Linked DNA regions of Danio rerio. The protein of the gene in region 1 interacts with the protein of each later gene in a pairwise test. Links are inferred from orthologs where the notes say so. Each region holds a gene or a part of one and is shown on either strand. Other genes may lie near its edges. The genes, in order: RNA-binding Raly-like protein and rbm41.

What was found.
Region 2: the proteins of RNA-binding Raly-like protein (region 1) and rbm41 interact in binary tests that used the Homo sapiens proteins (3 or more experiments, as listed by UniProt). The two-hybrid records come from large-scale screens. The link is inferred for Danio rerio from reciprocal best matches to the Homo sapiens genes RALYL and RBM41.

What each region holds. Positions count from the first base shown.
Region 1 is NC_133199.1:37,375,909-37,385,639, reverse strand, and holds the start of RNA-binding Raly-like protein, read left to right. Parts: upstream 1-4,973; 5' UTR 4,974-5,126; intron 5,127-5,784; 5' UTR 5,785-5,998; intron 5,999-8,889; 5' UTR 8,890-9,102; intron 9,103-9,731.
Region 2 is NC_133196.1:41,328,661-41,338,338, reverse strand, and holds the start of rbm41 (RNA-binding protein 41), read left to right. Parts: upstream 1-4,086; 5' UTR 4,087-4,127; coding exon 4,128-4,135; exon of another isoform or gene 4,136-4,155; intron 4,156-5,589; exon of another isoform or gene 5,590-5,590; coding exon 5,591-5,707; intron 5,708-6,487; coding exon 6,488-6,689; exon of another isoform or gene 6,690-6,760; coding exon of another isoform or gene 6,761-6,800; intron 6,801-8,729; coding exon of another isoform or gene 8,730-8,776; coding exon 8,777-8,981; intron 8,982-9,678. Other genes in the region: klf8 (Krueppel-like factor 8), read right to left, coding at 1,550-1,576. UniProt on the Homo sapiens protein: May bind RNA.

The DNA.
Region 1 (9,731 bases):
TGAAGAGCTAAATATGTGATAAATAAAAAAGTCAGGAAAGTTATTTGACCTGAAGATTATTTTGCCATTCAATAGTTGCTAGGCCTGAAACATTCTTTACGCAAGTATGCAGATGACTGCTAACTTTGTAGAAACCAAAAAAAAAACGTATAACGATCTGGGCTGGTCAGTATAGCAAGTATATTACACATGAAGGTATACATTTTGCTTTATTTTTTATTCTGTTATTGATGTGTTGGAGAAACATATGAATGTGTAAATAAAAAAAGTGTAAAATGCTTATTATTAAATAGAGTTAATAAGCACAATCAGCTTTGAAAAAAAAGACTCATTGAATCAGCATTAGTTGACAAACATGTGAATATTATTATAATATTTTTCTTACTATTATTCACTCACCGGCCTCTTTATTAGGTACACTTTACTATTACCAGATTGGACCCCCTTTTTCTTTCAGAACTGCCTTAATCTTTCGTGGCGTAAATTCAACAAGGTCCTGGAAATACTTCTTAGAGTTTTTGGTCCATATTGACATGATAGCATCACGCAGTTGCTGCAGATTTGTCGGCTGCACATCCATGATGCAAATCTCCCGGTCCACCACATCCCAAAAGTGCTTTATTGGATTGAGATCTGGTGCCTGTGGAGGCCATTTGAGTACAGTGAACTCATTGTCATGTTCAAAAAACCTAAGATGATTCACGCTTTATGACATGGCGAGTTATCCTGCTGGAAGTAGCCATCAGGAAATGGGTACACTGTGGTCATAAAGGGATGGAGATGGTCAGCAACAGTACTCAGGCAGGCTGTGGTGTTGACATAATGCTCAGTTAGCACTAATGGGCCCAAAGTGTGCCAAGAAAATATCCCTCACACCATTACACCACCACCACCAGCCTGAACCGTTGATACAAAGCAGGATGGATTCATGCTTTCATGTTGTTGACGCCAAATTCAGACCCTACCATCCGAATGTCGCAGCAGAAACCTGACTCATCAGCCCAGGCAACGTTTATCCAATCTTCTATTGTCCAGTTTTGATGAGCCTGTGCGAATTGTAGCCTCAGTTTCCTGTTCTTAGCTGACAGAAGTGGCACCCGGTGTGGTCTTCTGCTGCTTTAGCCCATCCGCCTCAAGGTTGGTCATGTTGTGCGTTCAGAGATGCTCTTCTGCATACCTCGGTTGTAACGAGTGGTTATTTGAGTCTATAAGCCAGTCTGGCCGTTCTCCTCTGACTTCTGTCAATTCATCATTGCTTTTAGGATATGTGCCAAAACACTGATAAAGCTGGCTGTTATTAAATCTCAAACTTCATTTTAGAGATTTTGTTAACCACAGACCGTTTTCATTTATGATTTTCTGTCAAAAAGTTGTATATACTTGCAACTACAGTATGTTTTGTTCCTGAAACAGAATGGTACTGTTAGGAATTCAGGTTTTAGATCATTATGCCACTCATTAAAGCTACAATTAGTTCTCTTTTTATTATTTTAGATCACAAAATTATTTTGGGTATAGGCTCAAGAATTGTGTTGGCATTAGTGGGATTGCATTGGCACCTGGCCTTTATCAGTTTGTAGCAGTAAATGAAGAGGCATTATATTGCTCATTCATTCATTCATTTTCTTCGGCTTAGTCCCTTTGCTCATCAGGGGTCGTCACAGCGGAATGAACCACCAACTTATCCAGCATACACAGCAGATGCCCTTCCAGCTGCAACCAAGTACTGGGAAACATCCATACACACTCATTCACACACATACACTACTGCCAATTGACCTATAGTGCATGTGTTTGGACTGTAAGGGAAACTTGGATGGGTCAGTTGGCATTTCTGTGTGGAGTTTGCATGTTCTCCCTGCGTTCCAGTGGGTTTCCTCCGAGTGCTCCGGTTTCCCCCACAGTCCAAAGACATGCGGTACAGGTGAATTGGGTCGGCTAAAATTGGCCATAGTGTATAAGTGTGATTGAGTGTGTATGGATGTTTTCCAGTACTTGGTTGCAGCTGGAAGGGCATCTGCTGCGTAAAACATATGCTGGATAAGTTGGCGGTTCATTCCACTGTGGATTAAGCCGAAAAGAAAATAAATGATTGAATGAATGAATGAGTTTCTTGTACTATGAAATATTCTGATTGTTCATCCCTAGTCAAACCTAGCCGTAAAGTCAGTATATCTTGCGAATACATGTAAATAAGGTTATACAAGTTTTTACCAAAAATTTTTCTTCAAATATTTAATTACGAATTGCTATGAAAGTAATATTAATTAGCTTTTTTCCCTTATTGTGGCATTAAACAACCTCTGTACTCAATGCAAACGATATCAGAAAACCCCCAGTGTGTTGTTATTCAGATAACCTGCTAAACATGTTTAAAGCTAGCATTATGCTAGCTAAGCACTAGCATTTACACTGTTTTACTTGTGTAGATAATGTTTCTGTCCTGAGGGAAGTATAAAATTTGCAGTAATATGTCAGGATTGGAGGCGGTGCAGTAGGTAGTGCTGTCACCTCACAGCAAGAAGGTCGCTGGTTCGAGCCTCGGCTCAGTTGGCGTTTCTGTGTGGAGTTTGCATGTCCTCCCTGCGTTCACGTGGGTTTCCTGCAAAGACATGCTGTACAGGAGAATTGGGTAGGCTAAATTGACCCCAGTGTATGAGTGTGAATGAGTGTGTGTGAATGTTTCCCAGGGATGGGTTGTGGCTGGAAGGGCTGTTCTTCAGGGCTGTGAATGAATGAATGTCAGGATTGGACTGAAGAGTCAGCTAGGCTGTACAGTTTTTGGAGAGTATATAGTTTTCCCAAAATGCTTTCTTCCAAATGTATATTACAAAAGAAATTGCTTTAACTGATATTGTTATGCCCGTTTAATAATCAATATGATTGTCATTTTCTCTGCAGTCTCCATGTCAGCTATCACAAGAATGTCTTAATATACAGTTTAAGTGTTTTGCAAGAAACATTAACAGGAATGTATTGCCTTAATATTAATGTTACTATTTACCAGTGTTTAATTGAGAATAGTATCAAACACACTCATTTTATTCAAAATCATGTAAGCCTGCTTAGTCAAACAGCTAACCAACTATGTGGTTTTGGATATGTTTTTATTCTGTAATGTATTAAAATGTGCATTTCTCTGGGAAACACAGATTGGCATGAGCATTTAAAACTCAATAAAGGCTATGAAATGAATGACTCTGTTATTTCTGTAACTCATTTTGTCAGATTTAATCATCTTATTGATGATATTTTACAGCAGTGTTTCCCAACCCTGTTCCTGGAGGCACACCAACAGGACATATTTTGAACATCTCCCTTATCTGACCCATTCATTTCAGGTTTTCAAGTCTCTATTAATGTTCTGAGAAGCTGATTCAGGTGTGTTTGATAGTAGGCTACACATTTTTTACTTTAAAACTTCAACAGATTGCTATTCTTTTCTAATGATATATGATGTAATAAATTTGTATTTTAAAAATTAGACTTGTTTTAAATGTTTATTGCAATTTTTTGGAAATATTTTTAGTACATCAAAAGTGTAGTTATGATGAGATCTGACTAGTTAATCCAGCAAAAAGAAATAAATAAATTAATTAATTAATAAATATTCACTAAAATGCAGTATTTAAACAGAAACTGAGGCGTATAACTGCAAAAAGGTCCACTTTTTGAGAAAAAAAGATCTCCTTTCACCAGGCTGGCTACGTGCAGTAACGTGCGTGAGCAGTTATCTAGATCAGTGGTTCTCAAAGTGGGGGTCGGGACCCCCTGGGGGGTCGCGGGACAATGACAAGGGGTCGCTTGGTGATATCCAAAACTAAAATAAATTTTATTAAACTATCAGAATTACCATATTTTATTCATAAACGACAGAATATAGTTAATAGTTGCATTCAAGAAACAACAACATAAAAAAACATTTAGCCATCAGCCTTTAATTTTAAAAGCAAAATGTAATTAAATCCATAAATGACTTTAAAAAACATTATATGGCTAATAGACTGTTGCATTTTTGTGTTGTCAATAAGCTCATGTTTATATTTGCCCAGGCCCGGATTGGCTAATCGGGAGGACCGGGAGAATTCCCGGTGGGCCGGTCCGTTTTTTGGCCGCGAGGGCCGGTGTCCCTAGCTCTAGAATCTGTTGCTCTCAGCAATCACACTTTTTAAATTTATTTATTTACTTGACCACAGCCTTTTTATTCATTATTATACCGCAACTCTTCTCTTTTGATCTATTTCAAGGATAATAAAACTCAGTTGTGTCATCATCCATAAAACAGTAGTTGTGGTCGAGCGGATAGTACGTTAGATTTAAACGCTGCGGACCTGGGTTCGATTCTCGTTAGAGTGATTTAGTGTTTTCATTTTTATTGATAAGACATATAATGATTGTTGAACATTTGAAGTTCTAAAGCAGCTGTTTTCTCAAAAAAAAAAAAAAGAAGTGATAGTGTCATTAGAAACTGATTTGGAAATATTTATTTATTTACTTATTTTAATACAGTCAGTCGTGAACTGAGGTGGGCCGGTCTGAGGCTTGAAATTCCAGAGCTGAAAAGGTGTCCCACTCCGGCCCTGTATTTGCCTATAGTTGTGTCTGCAACGTTTACATATTTACACCACCTTGAAAAATGGGGGTCGCGAGCCACTGATATGATTATTTTTGGGGTCGCGGGCTGAAAAGTTTGGGAACCCCTGATCTAGATAGATTAAACTGAACTCAGACTAGTCAGATCAAATGATCTTCAACTTGCTGTTATGGAACCAATTTAAGAGTGGAGTGGACATTTAGTTCGGCTCATTGAAGTCAGGCTTTTGACTTTAATCCCCGCTATTCTAAACGACTTTTATGAAACAGCCCCAGGTGTGTCTGATTAGGGTTCGAACTAAACTTTGCTGGACATTGGCCATCCAGGAACGAGTTTGGACACCTCTAATTTTTAAACACAGCTGACATAGTGCGAGGCTACGGTTTGCGTCACGACGCCGCAGTGAAAAAACGCACGTTATGTTTCAAATATTCGATGGCGACAAACTAACACGACAATGTTGAAGAGTAAAAAACATTGTGCACAGCGGGAAAATGACAATAAACTGAATCGGCAATGTCAACTACATGAGGTAAGTAACGGCTGGAGGTAGATAATTAATAGACTCGCCTGTATTTAAATCATTGATATATCAATTTGTTCAGTATTCCAGCACACTTCGTGTTTTTTTGCTTTGTAATGCATTGTTATCCTCCCAAACAGCTTTCAACCCTTGTGAAAAAATACTATAGTGATTTATTGTAAATACTACAGTGTGTTTGAACCACAAAAAGTAAAGTATTTTGAAGTAATCTGTTGTGGTAACGTTAATTAGCTGTGGTACTAAAACAACCAGTAACTGTTAGGCTAATATAAACAAACTATCCTGACAGTTATATTTAATACTACAATAAACCACATTTTAATGGTAGTAGAATCTACACTATTTATTACTGTTCATCATGGGGTTTAATTATAACATTCAATAAAGAGTTGTAAATAATATGTGAAGTTTACAGTATGGTTAAAATCACTAGTAAACACCAAAGTCCCTTTAAGGCATGTTTAAGTGTATTATATTTGTATACACTAAGACACTATAAATTATGATTCAAATATGTTCTAGGCATTGTTTTATGTTGTTTGAAAGAAAACTTAGTCCAGCTTTCTGTTATTGTTTTGCTTCTCTTAATCTCCACTGATGTGTGTAGTAGTGTGTTGTTATTGACCTGGTTCACTTTCTGTCACAGCTGGTTTTTGTACGGCTCTATTTCACTGTGTGAATCTAAAGCCACCATAGTCACCGAAGCAAAAATAAAGCCCTGAATCTTCACCTCGTGCTCCACTTATGGTCAGCTGGAAACTTCTAACGGACCCATTTCCACTAAACCGGGATGGAGCAGAGGAATGCCGGAGATTTCCTTGATAGATGAGGAGTTTGGGAGCTTCTCCAGCTTTTATGAGGTACCAGCTAAGACAGTATGTATCATTGCACCATTTACCAACAACAAGATTAGAGCTACATGTTAATGTAACTGATTGCCCTGCTTCAATAGTCTTCTCTGAAGGGCTTTGAGTCACTTTTGCTTGAGGAAGACTGGAGTCTGTTAAAGAAATTATTTATTAAGATATATTATTAAAAAGTACTGAACATTAAAAGTAATTCTGCTAAGAGATGAGAAGTTACCTTGAGCTGAACGAGTCAGCGACCAAAGAAAGATAGTGAGGAAGGTGAAAAATGCCATTTTGTTGTCTTGGTTTTATTTTGAGCATGTCATGAGGTTAAAGTGGTCACAGTGTTTTATAGTCAACACTACAGTTTCAATGCAAATGCACTGTTCCTATGAAGAAAAAAGACCGGAAAGATAGAAATTGGCAAATAAAATGTATGACTTCTCAAACGCTTTATATAGCGTAAATCTATATTTTAAAATTTGTATAACATTACCCCAGCATTATGTCTTAATATAAAGAATAATGTAGGAGAAGGGAAGATTTGCTACTAAAGTGCAATATGATTGAATTGGATCTATGAAAATGAACGAAATATGAAAAAAAAATGTAAATATAAATTGTATTTCGTTATTGCTATACAAAATAAATCAATGAATAAAGTTGTATGATGTAAGCATTCATTATTGTGTTTTTCTACATGGCTAACAATTTTCTGTTATTATACAACTTGTTTTTTGTCATAGTATGCAGTATACACACAATTTTAAATTAATTGATTAAAAAATATATATATTTATTAAAAGAAAGAAAATGTAATTTATTAATCAAGTTCAGTATAAAGATTCGGTAACTAGGATACAACGTTATTTCAATAATCATGAATAAAAGTAGTTTTATGCTCCGGTTAAGTATTTTATGTTAAACTTTTTTTTATTTCTTTTGAAAGTGCCATCTTTTTAAATGTATATTAGAATTTGCTATAAATAAATTAAAATGTGAGTGTTTAATAAATAAGATGTTTTTGAGTAAAATATTTGATCAGGAAGTTTTAAAAAATAATATAAAAAAAGAAATAATGTCATAAATAAAAATAGTTTTATTTATTGTTAATGCTGCTTTTAAGTGTTATTGTATATTTTGTTTTGTGTAATACATATGTATAACTTGTAATTTCTTTTGAAAGTATTGTAATTTTTATATATACAGTTGAAGTCAGAATTATTCGCCCCCCGCTTTGAATTTATTTTCTTTTAAAATATTTTTCTAATGATGTTTGTCAGAGCAAGGTCATTTTCACTGCATGTCTGATAATATTTTTTTTCTTCTGGAGAAAGTATTCTTTGTTTTGTTTCGACTAGAATAAAAGCAGTTTTTAATAATAATAAAAAAAAAACATTTTAAGGTCAATATCATTAGCCCCTTTATATTAATTTCCCCCCCGGATAGTCTACTGAATCGTTATACAAAAACTTGCCTAATTATCCAAACTTGCCTAATTAACCTAATAATTAGCCTAGTTAAGCCTTTAAATGTCACTTTAAGCTGTACAGAAATTTCTTAAAAATATCTAGTAAAATATTATTTACTGTCATCATGGCAAAGATAAAATAAATTGGTTATTTAAGATAAAAACGATCATGTTTAGAAATGTGTTGAAATAAATCTTCTCTTCGTTTGATAGAAATTGTGGAAAAACATTGGGCTAATAATTCAGGGGTATAATAATTAAAATAAGGGGTATAAAAAAAAAAAAAAAAAAAAAAAAAAAATATATATATATATATATATATATATATATATATATATATATATATATATATATATATATACATATAAAAAACTAAAAATGTGAGTGTTTAATAAATAAGATGTTTTAGAGTAAAATATTGTATCAGTAGAAACTCCTCAATAACGTTTATTTTAATTTTCATAAATAAAAGTAGTTTTATTAATTATCAGTGCTGCTGTTTAGTATTAATATATAATTTAAGTAAAACGTTTTATCTGTTTTGAAAGAATAATCTTGTTGATGTATATTTAAAGTTGCTCTAAATAAAATAACAATTTGAGTGTTTAATAAAATAGAGGTTTTAAATTTAGAGTAAAAATGTTTTATCAGGAGGAACAGCTCATTAATAAAGCATACAAAACCAAATAAATATTTTAGCTAGTTGCCAGAGACATATTTTCATTTCATTTAGTCTGCTTTAAAACTCTGACTGATTTTTATTTTTTATTACAAAACGTAAACAGTAAATAAATACATGAACAAACTATTAATAAAAACTACACAACAGCAATTGCATTTTCTGAGAGTAAAATAATACTTTATATGATACATGAAACTTATTTTACACACATTCATTATAAACCTTGACAGATAATCCTGATTCTAAATGCACTTAATTTTATTTTAATATAACATTTACATAACAATTAACAATAGAAAAGATACAATATACAAACAATACATAAAGTAAAATAATTAAAGATAACTAAGTAATTAATAAAATAATACTAAGAAAATGAAATACAGATAAATACTGACATTCAGTTTTAATCTTAATTAGCCTAATCCTCTTTAATTTAACTATTACCTGTAGCATTTATGTTTTAAAGATAATCTATGAAAAGGTTGCCAGATTTTATAGAATTTTTCTTTCTTTTTAAAGGAGAATCTGATTGATTTTCTCCAGTTTCATATGTCTGATTACATCCCTCATTAGATGTATATATGTAGGAGCAATGTTCTGTTTCCAGTTTAATAATTTTAACCTTTGTGCTAGTAGACTGATGACTGGAACTACATTCTGTTCTTTACTCTAGTTTTTCTGTAATTTTTCTGTTGATATTTTTGGGCAGCTCCATAACCTGCATTTTTCTGCTCAATGCCTGTGTAGAGAACATGCCAGCAGTGACCGAGGGCTGCAGAAAGTGAGCTGAATAATCTGTTCATCCGCAAAACCAGCCAGAAGCTCTTCAAATAATGCAGGAGAATTGAATGTCCGCAGAGTAAACCATGACAAAATCCCACAAAGCCAAGAAGTCCTGATGCTTCCCATTGGTCCTGCTCTCTCTGGGGAAATGAAGCCGTATCTGAGTCCCGCTGGCCGGTATGTAGGAGTCACATGCATCATTTATTTATGAAAGTAAAAATTGCTCTCCCTTTGGGCCAGTGAACATCTGCTGCTGCTTCTGCTCTCTTCTCTGATAAAAACAGAATCACCTGCTCATGCAAATATCACTTTCACTTCTGGTTTTTATTTTCTGGTTATCATGATATTGATGAAACGTTGGATATGTGTATATTTTTAGACTTTTAATAGATAGTTGTTTTCATAATTTTTATTGGATTAAGTAGTTGCATATATATATGTGTGTGTGTGTGTGTGTGTGTGTGTGTGTGTGTGTGTGTGTGTGTGTATATATTTATATATATATATATATATATATGTATGTATGTATGTATGTATGTATGTATGTATGTATGTATATATTATTTTTATTGAGATGTAATAAAAAATGACAATATAACATCGCTATCATATTTACATCTTTGTTTTAAATTTATAGGACAAAAACAACAGCAATAATAATAAAAAACATACAAAACTTAAAAAAGAGGGTCAAAAGAAGGGAGGGCACAGGTTGTTTAAATTCGTAACAAATTATTCTAGAAAAAATAGGTAGAAATTGTTGGTCATCAGTAGATCATCAATATGACAACGGCTTGTTTAAATAC
Region 2 (9,678 bases), on another chromosome or scaffold:
ATAGCAATTGTGATATAATAAACAATTAACTTTTTCACGTTGTTGACAAAATACAGTTTTAAATGTATTAAATTAATTAATTAATTATTTTTTGACTGCGATTTAATTTGCATGTATTCTCCAAAGCAATGAATTGATTGTTTTCCATATGCTACATTCTATCCCTTTTCTGACTACTCACTGTATTTATATGAAATAGTTACAATACTGGTCTGTGGATCGTCAATTGTAAATTAAATTTTTAGAAATAATCAATAGCGTTTGTGATATCAAAACTTTTATCGAAACAAAAATAACAGTTAGTCAGTTTATTTCTATTAAAATCATTTGATTAGCCTATAATAACATGATTATTTGATTAACATGACAAGAAATTAGCTTACCATTTAAACAATATGGTACTACACTGTGTAACATTGAAAACAGAAAAGCCACAAAAACACTTATGAAGTATTATGTAAATATAATTTAAATAATAAAATGTTTTTCTTATTATTATCTTAGCTATTTATTTATTTTTACCCCTAGCATCTATTTATACTTTGATAGTATTGTTAATATAATATTTTGTTTTATTTGTTCTTAATTGTTGTGAGATGTAGATGTTTGTATTAAGTTTGTACATATTTACAATAAATTAAAAATGATTATTTGATTAACATGCTTGATAAACGTCAACATAGATGTTTTTTCCAATTTGTAAATGCCAGAGCAAGTACATTTCAGAACAAGATAAGTGATAGTCAAATTTGTGCTAAAATGTTTTTAATTAATGTAATGTATGACCCTGCAGATACATTCAAGGGTACTACAGGAGGAGACGTGTCAATATGATGACCCTGACGTTCCAATACATGTGTATGTGCAACAAAAACAAACAAACAAACAAACAAACCACTTACACTAATGCACCCCCTCCCTTTCTCACTTGACATCATGGGATGTTCATGACAGTTTTATGTATAACTTACAGTCTACTGCTGTAACCTGCGTGGTATTAGCTGGAGCCTGACATTATTAGCCAAAACACTGACATCTCTTTATAACAGCGAAAGCCACGGAATACAAAACACAGAACTGAGAGGACCAACAAGCATAACAGAATGTCCTCATCACCCCATAAGAATAAAGGCTGCGGCCCCTTTAAGAAAGCAGCTAAGATGGTGTCTCTCCGGCGAGCTGCATTCGGCGCGCTTCCTTCCTGCCTTCACCGCTTTAAAACGGCACTGCAGACCCTCGACGGCTCTGACAGACGAGTCGCTCAATCTCTCCCTATCTGACTTTAACACTTTGCACAGCTGTTTTAAATGCGCCCGAGTCAACGTGTCAGGTTCGCGGATAAGTTAAGCACGGGCTCAGAGGCGCATGCACGGGAATCGCTCAGATGATATTATCGGCTCATTACGGTTAACGGCAGAGCAAACCGAAACCGGGTAACTGCTCACAGATGAGGAACTCCGGAGGAGTCCTGCAGAACAGAAAGCGAACAACCACAGCCGGCCAAAGCTATGCTGCAAATGTGTCGATTGCAAACGATAAACAGACTTACTTTTTTGTTCCGAGTCTCCGTGTGCATCTCGGTATCTAAGCGGCGGTGAAGGGGTGGAGTGGAGGGGGGGTCGGTCGGCTCGGGCGGGGTGAGATTTGAATAACAGTCAGTATTATCCGCCTCAGTATTAGAGAAGAAATGTGCGCTCGTTGGCTCGGAGGTTCACAGAAATCATATCCCTGGCGTCGAGAAACAAGCCCTCTTTCCGTCGCCCCGTTCGTCTTTCGGTGTGTGTTTGTTGCCGTGTTTCAGGGTTGGGCTCGAGCTGTGAGTCTCTCCTCCGCCTCTCCCTGCTGCTGACCCCACCCTGCGTCCCCACCCCTTCACTGTGTCAATCACAGCCGCTGCAAGTGTGTGTGTGTGTGTGTGTGTGTGTCAGCGCGCCACCACAATAATAGAAGTTCAGAAACATCATCATCATCACTTTGTCACCTCGCCTAATGACGTCAAGTTGCACCGGATGTTCGAAGTTGCTCGACTTTTTTTGGTCCTTTTTTGCATGTGTTACAGAGGTGATGATGCCTTATATGAGAATGACTAGTTTTTGGAGATAAAATTACCCCTAATTTGAGCAAAAGCAGACAAAAAAGACGTATTTTATTTATTGTTCTTAGTGTGTTTGTTCATATTGCATTATTCAGCATTTGTAGTACAGTTTTATATATATATATATATATATATATATATATATATATATATATATATATATATATATATATATATATATATATATATATTGCTGCTTGTTCGAACTACGTATTTAAAATGAGCTAAAACAACACAATTTTTGAGATTTTATGTGGGACAACTTGATCGTTTTATGTTCAATCCACTTAAATGTTTAGTTGACTTAATCTATTTGTGTTGGGATAACCTGAATGAATAGTGTGGAACCCTGTATCGGAAATAAATTGGATTTCGTAGGTATGTGTTTGGGTAAAAATATCGTTTTTTTTTTGTTTTTTTTTTGGAGCATTTTCCCCCATAAAATGGCAATTCATCTTTTTTTTGTTTTTTTTTTTGTTACTGAGAGGCAGGGTTATTCTACCTAATATATATATATATATATATATATATATATATATATATATATATATATATATATATATATATATATATATATATATATATATATTTACTTTTAAGTAGCAAAAAACATCAATGTGTTAACATAAATAGTCTATAAACATGTCTGAATATATCCCTTTTGTTATTTTGACCAAGTGGCGTTCGTTGTGTTTGTGTAAAAAAAACTTTTGTTTTGTTCTGCAAACTGATGGCATTTATTCCCAAATAAAAGTACAAATACTGTTAGAACATAATCATACATTTTAACAAATAACACTTTTATTTTGACTAGTTTAAAGTGTTTACTGAATGAAGCAATAATTAAAATGAAACATGGAAAACCTTGAGAAAAAATAGAAACAAAATTAAATAGCTGTTTATTACATAAACTGTCCAAATCACAGGGCAGCAACTCAATGCGTTAAGGCACGTGGTCAAGACAATCTGCAGAAGTTCAAACTGAGCATCTGAAGACGAAGAAAGATGAATAAAGAGACTTTGAGGGCATTGTTGTTAATGCAGGATGAGTATTTCAAAAACTGCTGGTATATAAAATATATATTTCACATAGAAATATGTCTTCAGTTTATAGAGAATAGTCGAGAAGAGTTTGGTGAGTGGCAGCAAAACTTTTCAGCTGATAGGAAGGCAAGGATTCACCAACAGTACGCAAGTTACAATGTAGCATATTGCAATGTAAAGGGTTACTATACAAACTACGCAGTAAATATATTTGTCGCACCATTACGGCTTACTTACAAAGCCAACTTTCAGCAATCATACCCTGAAGATTGGATGGTTGACTTATCCGACATTCAGGTGGAGGGTCATGAATGTATACAGTTATAATTTAGGATAAAGGCTTGAATGAATCTGCTTCTATAGACTGTGATGTTCAGTTGTTCTGAAACACATTTCCCATGGTCTTTTCTTTCCACTTAACTGGAAGTATTTGTGTAACGGGAAATATGAAGCTGGGACATATACGCGTTTATTTTCACCAGGACTGTAAGGGCTATAAATGAGTGATCATGTTAATATTTTTGTGGCTGCAATGTCAATATCACAACAGCTGCCATCATAGTGCTCGCTTTCTGAATCAACGCAAGATTTTACACTGTTTTTTGTGTTTGCTTGTTTTTGCTTTTTTGAGTAATAAACAAAAACAAATCCCTTTTAAATAAATTGGTTTAGTAATGGTTTCCTTTTGTTGGATAAACTGTGTAAATTGAAAGTACACAAATAAAAATCAATTAGTCCTAAACTCGTTTTTTTATTTTATTTATTTATTAATTAAACTGTTTAGCACATTTTAATAGTTTAGTTTAGTTCAATACATTTGAATAAAAGAAGGATGAAAATACTGTTAAGGTTTTTTTTTTTTTTTACAAAGATAGGCATTTGCAGAGCACCGCGAATGAGAGTCTTTGAGTTAAAACTACATTTCCCAAAATCCTCTCCGCCACAGCTTCTTTCCTGTCGGAACGGGAAATAGAGGGAAAGTGTAAACATGAAGCGGTAAGGAAGAGGACTAAACGGTATTTTTTGTTTTTAGTTTCGGTCTGAAGCCAGTAACAAAACTTGTCAAACCAAAACATTGACTTTCAATGAACTCTGATTTGAAAAATCCCATCACTAAGGTCTAGTCGATTACAGCCGTTAAGACTTATTGATGATGATAACACACATTGGTCGATAGGTTGAGTGGTAGTTAATTAAACGTACGACACGTTTTAATGTTGATCATAAATCATTGTTTTATTTAGTTTATCGTTATTGTATATCTTTTTTTGACCTGAGTGACGATGTAACCTCTACTTGCTGGCTTGTCTTGTCTTGTGTTCTGAATGTGAGAAGTTTGTGTAACAGTTAAACATTTTAATTTGTTGTAATGAAAGGAACGTATAACTATTCTTTCATATTTATTTAACTATTTTTATTAAATGATTTGACACATACTTTGGCCCAAATTGACCTAAAAATTACAATAGGGATAAAATATGTGAATAATGTAATAATCCGTAGTTGGTATAATGAAGTATGTTTATTCGTTTACACAAAAAAAGATCAATTAGAAAGCGACACGGTGGCTCAGTGCTTAGCACTGTCGCCACACAGCAAGAAGGTCGCTGGTTCCAGTTCCGACCTGGTCAGTCGCATTTCTGTGTGGAGTTTGCATGTTCTCCTCAAGTTTGCGTTGTTTTCTTCCGGGTGCTTCAGTTTCCCTCAGAGTCCAAATATATACGCCATAGTTGAATTGAATAAGCTAAATTGTCCGTAGTGTGTGTGTGTGTGTGAGAGAGAGAGAATGAGGTGTATAGGTGTTTCCCAGTACTGGGTTGCAGCTGGAATGGCAGTAAAATATACTGCATAAGTTGGCGGTTTATTCCGCTGTGGCAACCCCTGATGATTAAAGAGACTAAGACACAGGAATGTGATGAAATTAGCAAAATAGGAAGTGATCGTAATAAGTAATTAGATTTCTAATTTAAAAAAACAATGCAGATTTATTTTGACATTCTCATTAAATGACATACTATGCAGTTTTTATTTAATATTTATGTTTTAATAAGTTTAATTTTGGCTGTTTGCAGTATTATCTGCCAATTTTGAAAACTATCATAACAATGTAAAATGAACATAACTTTTTATCAGTGACAGCAAACAGAATAGATTGTTTTATCTTGAATTTGTTATATTTAATTAAATAAGTTTATTTAGCATTCCGTTTTTTTTTTCAACTGTTCATACAATATACTTCATGAACACTGGAGTGCAATAATTGGAGTAAGAGGAAAATTGTAACGCTAAACCATTAAAAGTGTAATTAAAATAAATATAGTTTAATTTGTCTCCTAGACTCACTGATGTGCTGTCTTTATGCTTAAAAAATATTTAGAATTATGAACATAAAACAAGCATTTGGGCTGAGGAGTTTAAAGAACTCAAAAATGATTTTGTAATTATTTATAGGGTTACTCGCCATGCCTGTGATGATGTGCCCATCCCTGAAGAACAGGAGACAGAAGGCCAGAGACAACTGCACAATCTGCTGCTGCAACAACTGGACACAGATGTTGACATTGACCGGTTAGTTCCTGATAAACTGGGCCAGACAAAATCTGTTGACTTTTTTTTTACTTTTGCTATTTCAGTAGAGAATTTTGTAAAAAAATAAATAAAAATCTGTCACTTTTAATTCGACTTTACTTGCAAATTAGGTAGATTTCACATTAATTTTGAGTTTTAACATTTTTTAATAAATTCAGTGGATTTCCAGGTCTGGCTGGAGCACATTTAGCTTAGCTTAGCATAAATCATTAAGTCAGATTAGACCATTAGCATCTTTTTTTTTTTTGCATTTTTGATTGAGATGCTAATGGTCTAACCTGGTATGATTTATGCTAAGCTAAGCTAAGCTAAAAGTGCTCCCAACAGACATGGCAATCGGCTGATTGGATAAAAAATGGTAAAACTCAACTGTTTAACTGTAGGGGACTTGCTTAGGGGTAAAATGAGCTTATTTTCAAAAATAGTTTAGTGTTCCTTTAAGGTTAACATGCCAGGATAATATACATTTACAAGCTTTTGCTTCAAAATTACCATTTCAAATCCTGGGTGTTGAAAATAGACAACAGAAAAAATGTAAAGTTTGTTAAACTACTATCAAGCTATCAAATATGGCAGAGGGAGTATCTCAGATTGTTGAGATACTCCCTCTGCAATCTTGTCCTCATATTTGCTATTAACTTTCTGTAAAAAGAAATTCAAGCTAAAACATTTTAATATTATTCAAAGCACAACATTTGCCTGTTTTTTCTGTTCATTATAGGTCATGGACATTAATATTCACCTGTTTATTTGTCATAGGTGTGTGGCTAAGAAGAAATGCTTTGCTCCAGCTGCGGTGTACAAGCCGTTTGGGGAACAGGCCGCTGGTGTGAGGAGTCTGTCTCAGTTTCAGGCCCTGCAGGACGGAGATCAGGAGCTGGCGGCTCTCAGAGAACTGGGCCTAACTGATGCTGAAATACTGCTGTGGAGGAGCAGGGAGCAGCCGGAGAGCTCCCTCAAGGTCTGCTTTAGCTATTACCCTTATCATGAAGTGTCCTAAACAGAGGGATTTTACATTTCCAGAAATCTGACATGAAGAATGGTAGCTGTTGGTCAGAGAATGATTCAGACAGTGTTAGTTTAGTATCATTGTAACATTATTTTGGTATCATTATCATCAGTTTTTAATTACAGAAATATTATTATCTTATGTTTTCTTTTTAATCCTATATTTTTATTAATTTAGCTGCTTTTTAAAATTATTTTCTAAATTAATCATTTATTATTTATTTTTATTTATATATATATATATTTTATATTTTTATTTTATATTCATAAATATAAAAAATGATTCATTTATTTAATTATTTCTAAATAAAAATATTTAAAATTTATATATATTTTTTGTTAATATTAAAAAAAATATCTATATGATTTTAAAAAAATTGTATTTAATTTTGAAATAAAATGTATTTTTTTAATGTTCATTTGTTTCAGTGAATATCTATTTTGTTTTAAGGAACATGAGGGGCATTTATTAATACACACAATGTTTTTAACCTGTTATGTTAGTTTTGGGTGACTGAAAATACAAACTTTTGAAAAACAAAATAATGAAAAAGTTTAAATGGAAAGTTTAATTGTAATTTTTAGTACTTTTGCTGTGTTTTGTCATATTTATTTATAATTTATAACCAAAAAAAGAGCAATATTTTGTTGGCAGTTACATTAAATTGTTATTTTATTTTTTAGCTGACATTTATGCTTTTTCAAGTTAAATAGAGTTATAATAGCATTAGGAGTCTTAACACAACACTGTTGTGAAATTGAAACAGAAAAAAAAAAAATTTCATTTACACCACCACAGCATTATGGATCCTGAAAATGCAAACTTCAAAAAAAAAAAAAAGAAAAGAAAATATTTTGTAGTGATGGTTTAATTATAGGTGCATGTTATACATTTAAAATCAGAATTATTAAAACCCCTTTGTGTTTTACTTATTAATTTATTTATTTCATTTTTAAATATTTCCCAAATGATGTTTAACAGAGCAAGGACATTTTCACAGTATGTCTGATAGTATTTTTTCTTTTGGAGAAAGTGTTATTTGTTTTAGAACTGCTAAAATAAAAGCAGTTTTTAACATTTTGAAGATAAAAAAACAAAAAATGGCAAAAGATGGCAAAGATAAAATAAATCAGTTATCAGAAATGAGTTATTAAAACTATTATGTTTAAAAATGTGTTGAAAAAAATATCTCGGTTAAACAGGAATTGAGGAAAAAAACAACTCGGTTAAACAGGAAGGGCTAATAATTCTGACTTCAACTGTATCCAGGTTTAACTTTATAATGAAGAGTAGGGCTGTGAGATTATTTTGGAATTGTATCAATGCATGCTCCTGACTGATACTTCTCTCACAGTGTGCTATTTGAAGCAATCATAACGCAGCAGGACTAGAACAGGAGCATTAGAACAGGAGACTGAGCTTAATGACAAGGTTTGAGTTTGACGGCACTTTATGGCGTAGAGACAATTTGTTACACATTTACTAGGTGATTTTTATTATTTTTTGTCTTATTTATGTTTTTAAGACATGTTACAGGACTTAAAAAACTTAAAAAATTTTATGATTATTATAAAATTATTTCCTTTGGAAATATCTTTCATAGTCACACTGTAAATCGCAGAATTCTCAGTGATGCAATGTCTGACACAATGCACTTAATTGAGCCAGTCACGTCACTGTGAGAAGTAGGATTAGGCGAGTCCATTAAAAAGCACTGCATCCAGACCACTCTCGAAAATGCAGACTTTTTGAAAACATTTTCAAAGTGAATGTTTTTGCAAAACTATTCAATCATTATCTCTGAAGCAACACACAAGTTCTTTACAACCAAATCAACAATGTTCAGATTACAGTAGCGCATGTGTTTGTAGGTTGTATGCAGGCTGTTTGCAGATCCATCTGAAAGTGGAACATTTTAAAAACATTGTCATTTATTTGTGAAGCCCGAAAGAAATATTCAGCTATTTAGTTCATCATTGCTTAAACTCCTAGTTTTCTTTAACTTTAATAACTTGGACCCGCTTTCTTGTTTTTCTCAGGACAGAGGGGTTTGTGTGGCCCCTGAGGCGAGGAATGAGCGTCTGCAGGCCATCCGGGATAAAATGGCAGCTCATGCGGAGCTGCTGTCCCGACCCCAGCGCTTCTCAAGCAGTCGAGCGCTGTCCCGCAGAGAGATGGAAATCGAGAAAGCTCTTTTTCAAGGCAGCGACCGCTCCAGCTTCCTCACTGCCCTTTACCATCAAGGTGAAACACACTATAGTAATGCCAAGTAGCTTTACTTTTACAGTGTTCTCTACTAATATTGACAAAAATGAGCTGAAAAAACTGTTCGTTAACCTTTTAATGTTTAGCTCAAAAATATTAACAAAAAAGTCTGTTCATTTTATGGCTGCACGATGCTGAAAAAATAGGGATGTTGTTGAATATTGTGAAAATTATATTTATTTCAATATAACATTTCCCTATAAAAATGTTAATTTTATAAGTTTTTATATCCTTTATTGAATAATATAAAAAAAAAAACAGGTAAAAGATATTCTTCAGCTCTAGCTATTTCTGTTTCAGACTAAAACAAATTGTGTCAAGGTCCAAACATTTAGTCATTTACTTCCTATGAATGAGTGAAAACATTGGCAGATATTCTGACTAGGGTTGGGTACCAAAACTCGGTACCTTTGGAACCGGTATGCACCGGGTCAAGTCAGCATATGAATTTCGGTGCCTAATTTCGGTGCTGGAACAAGAACTTAAAGCAGGTCGCGCACCGGAAGCGCCGCTTGGCGACGCGCAGCGCCATGCATTTTAGAATCCGCAAGTCAGCGGCTGTCCACGGCATCCAGCCACGACTCTTGACTGTTCTTATTTCTGCCATGCCTCAGAGCGCCATCTGACTATTTTCATTTTAAATAACATGTGAATGTGCACGTCTGGTGTGTGACAC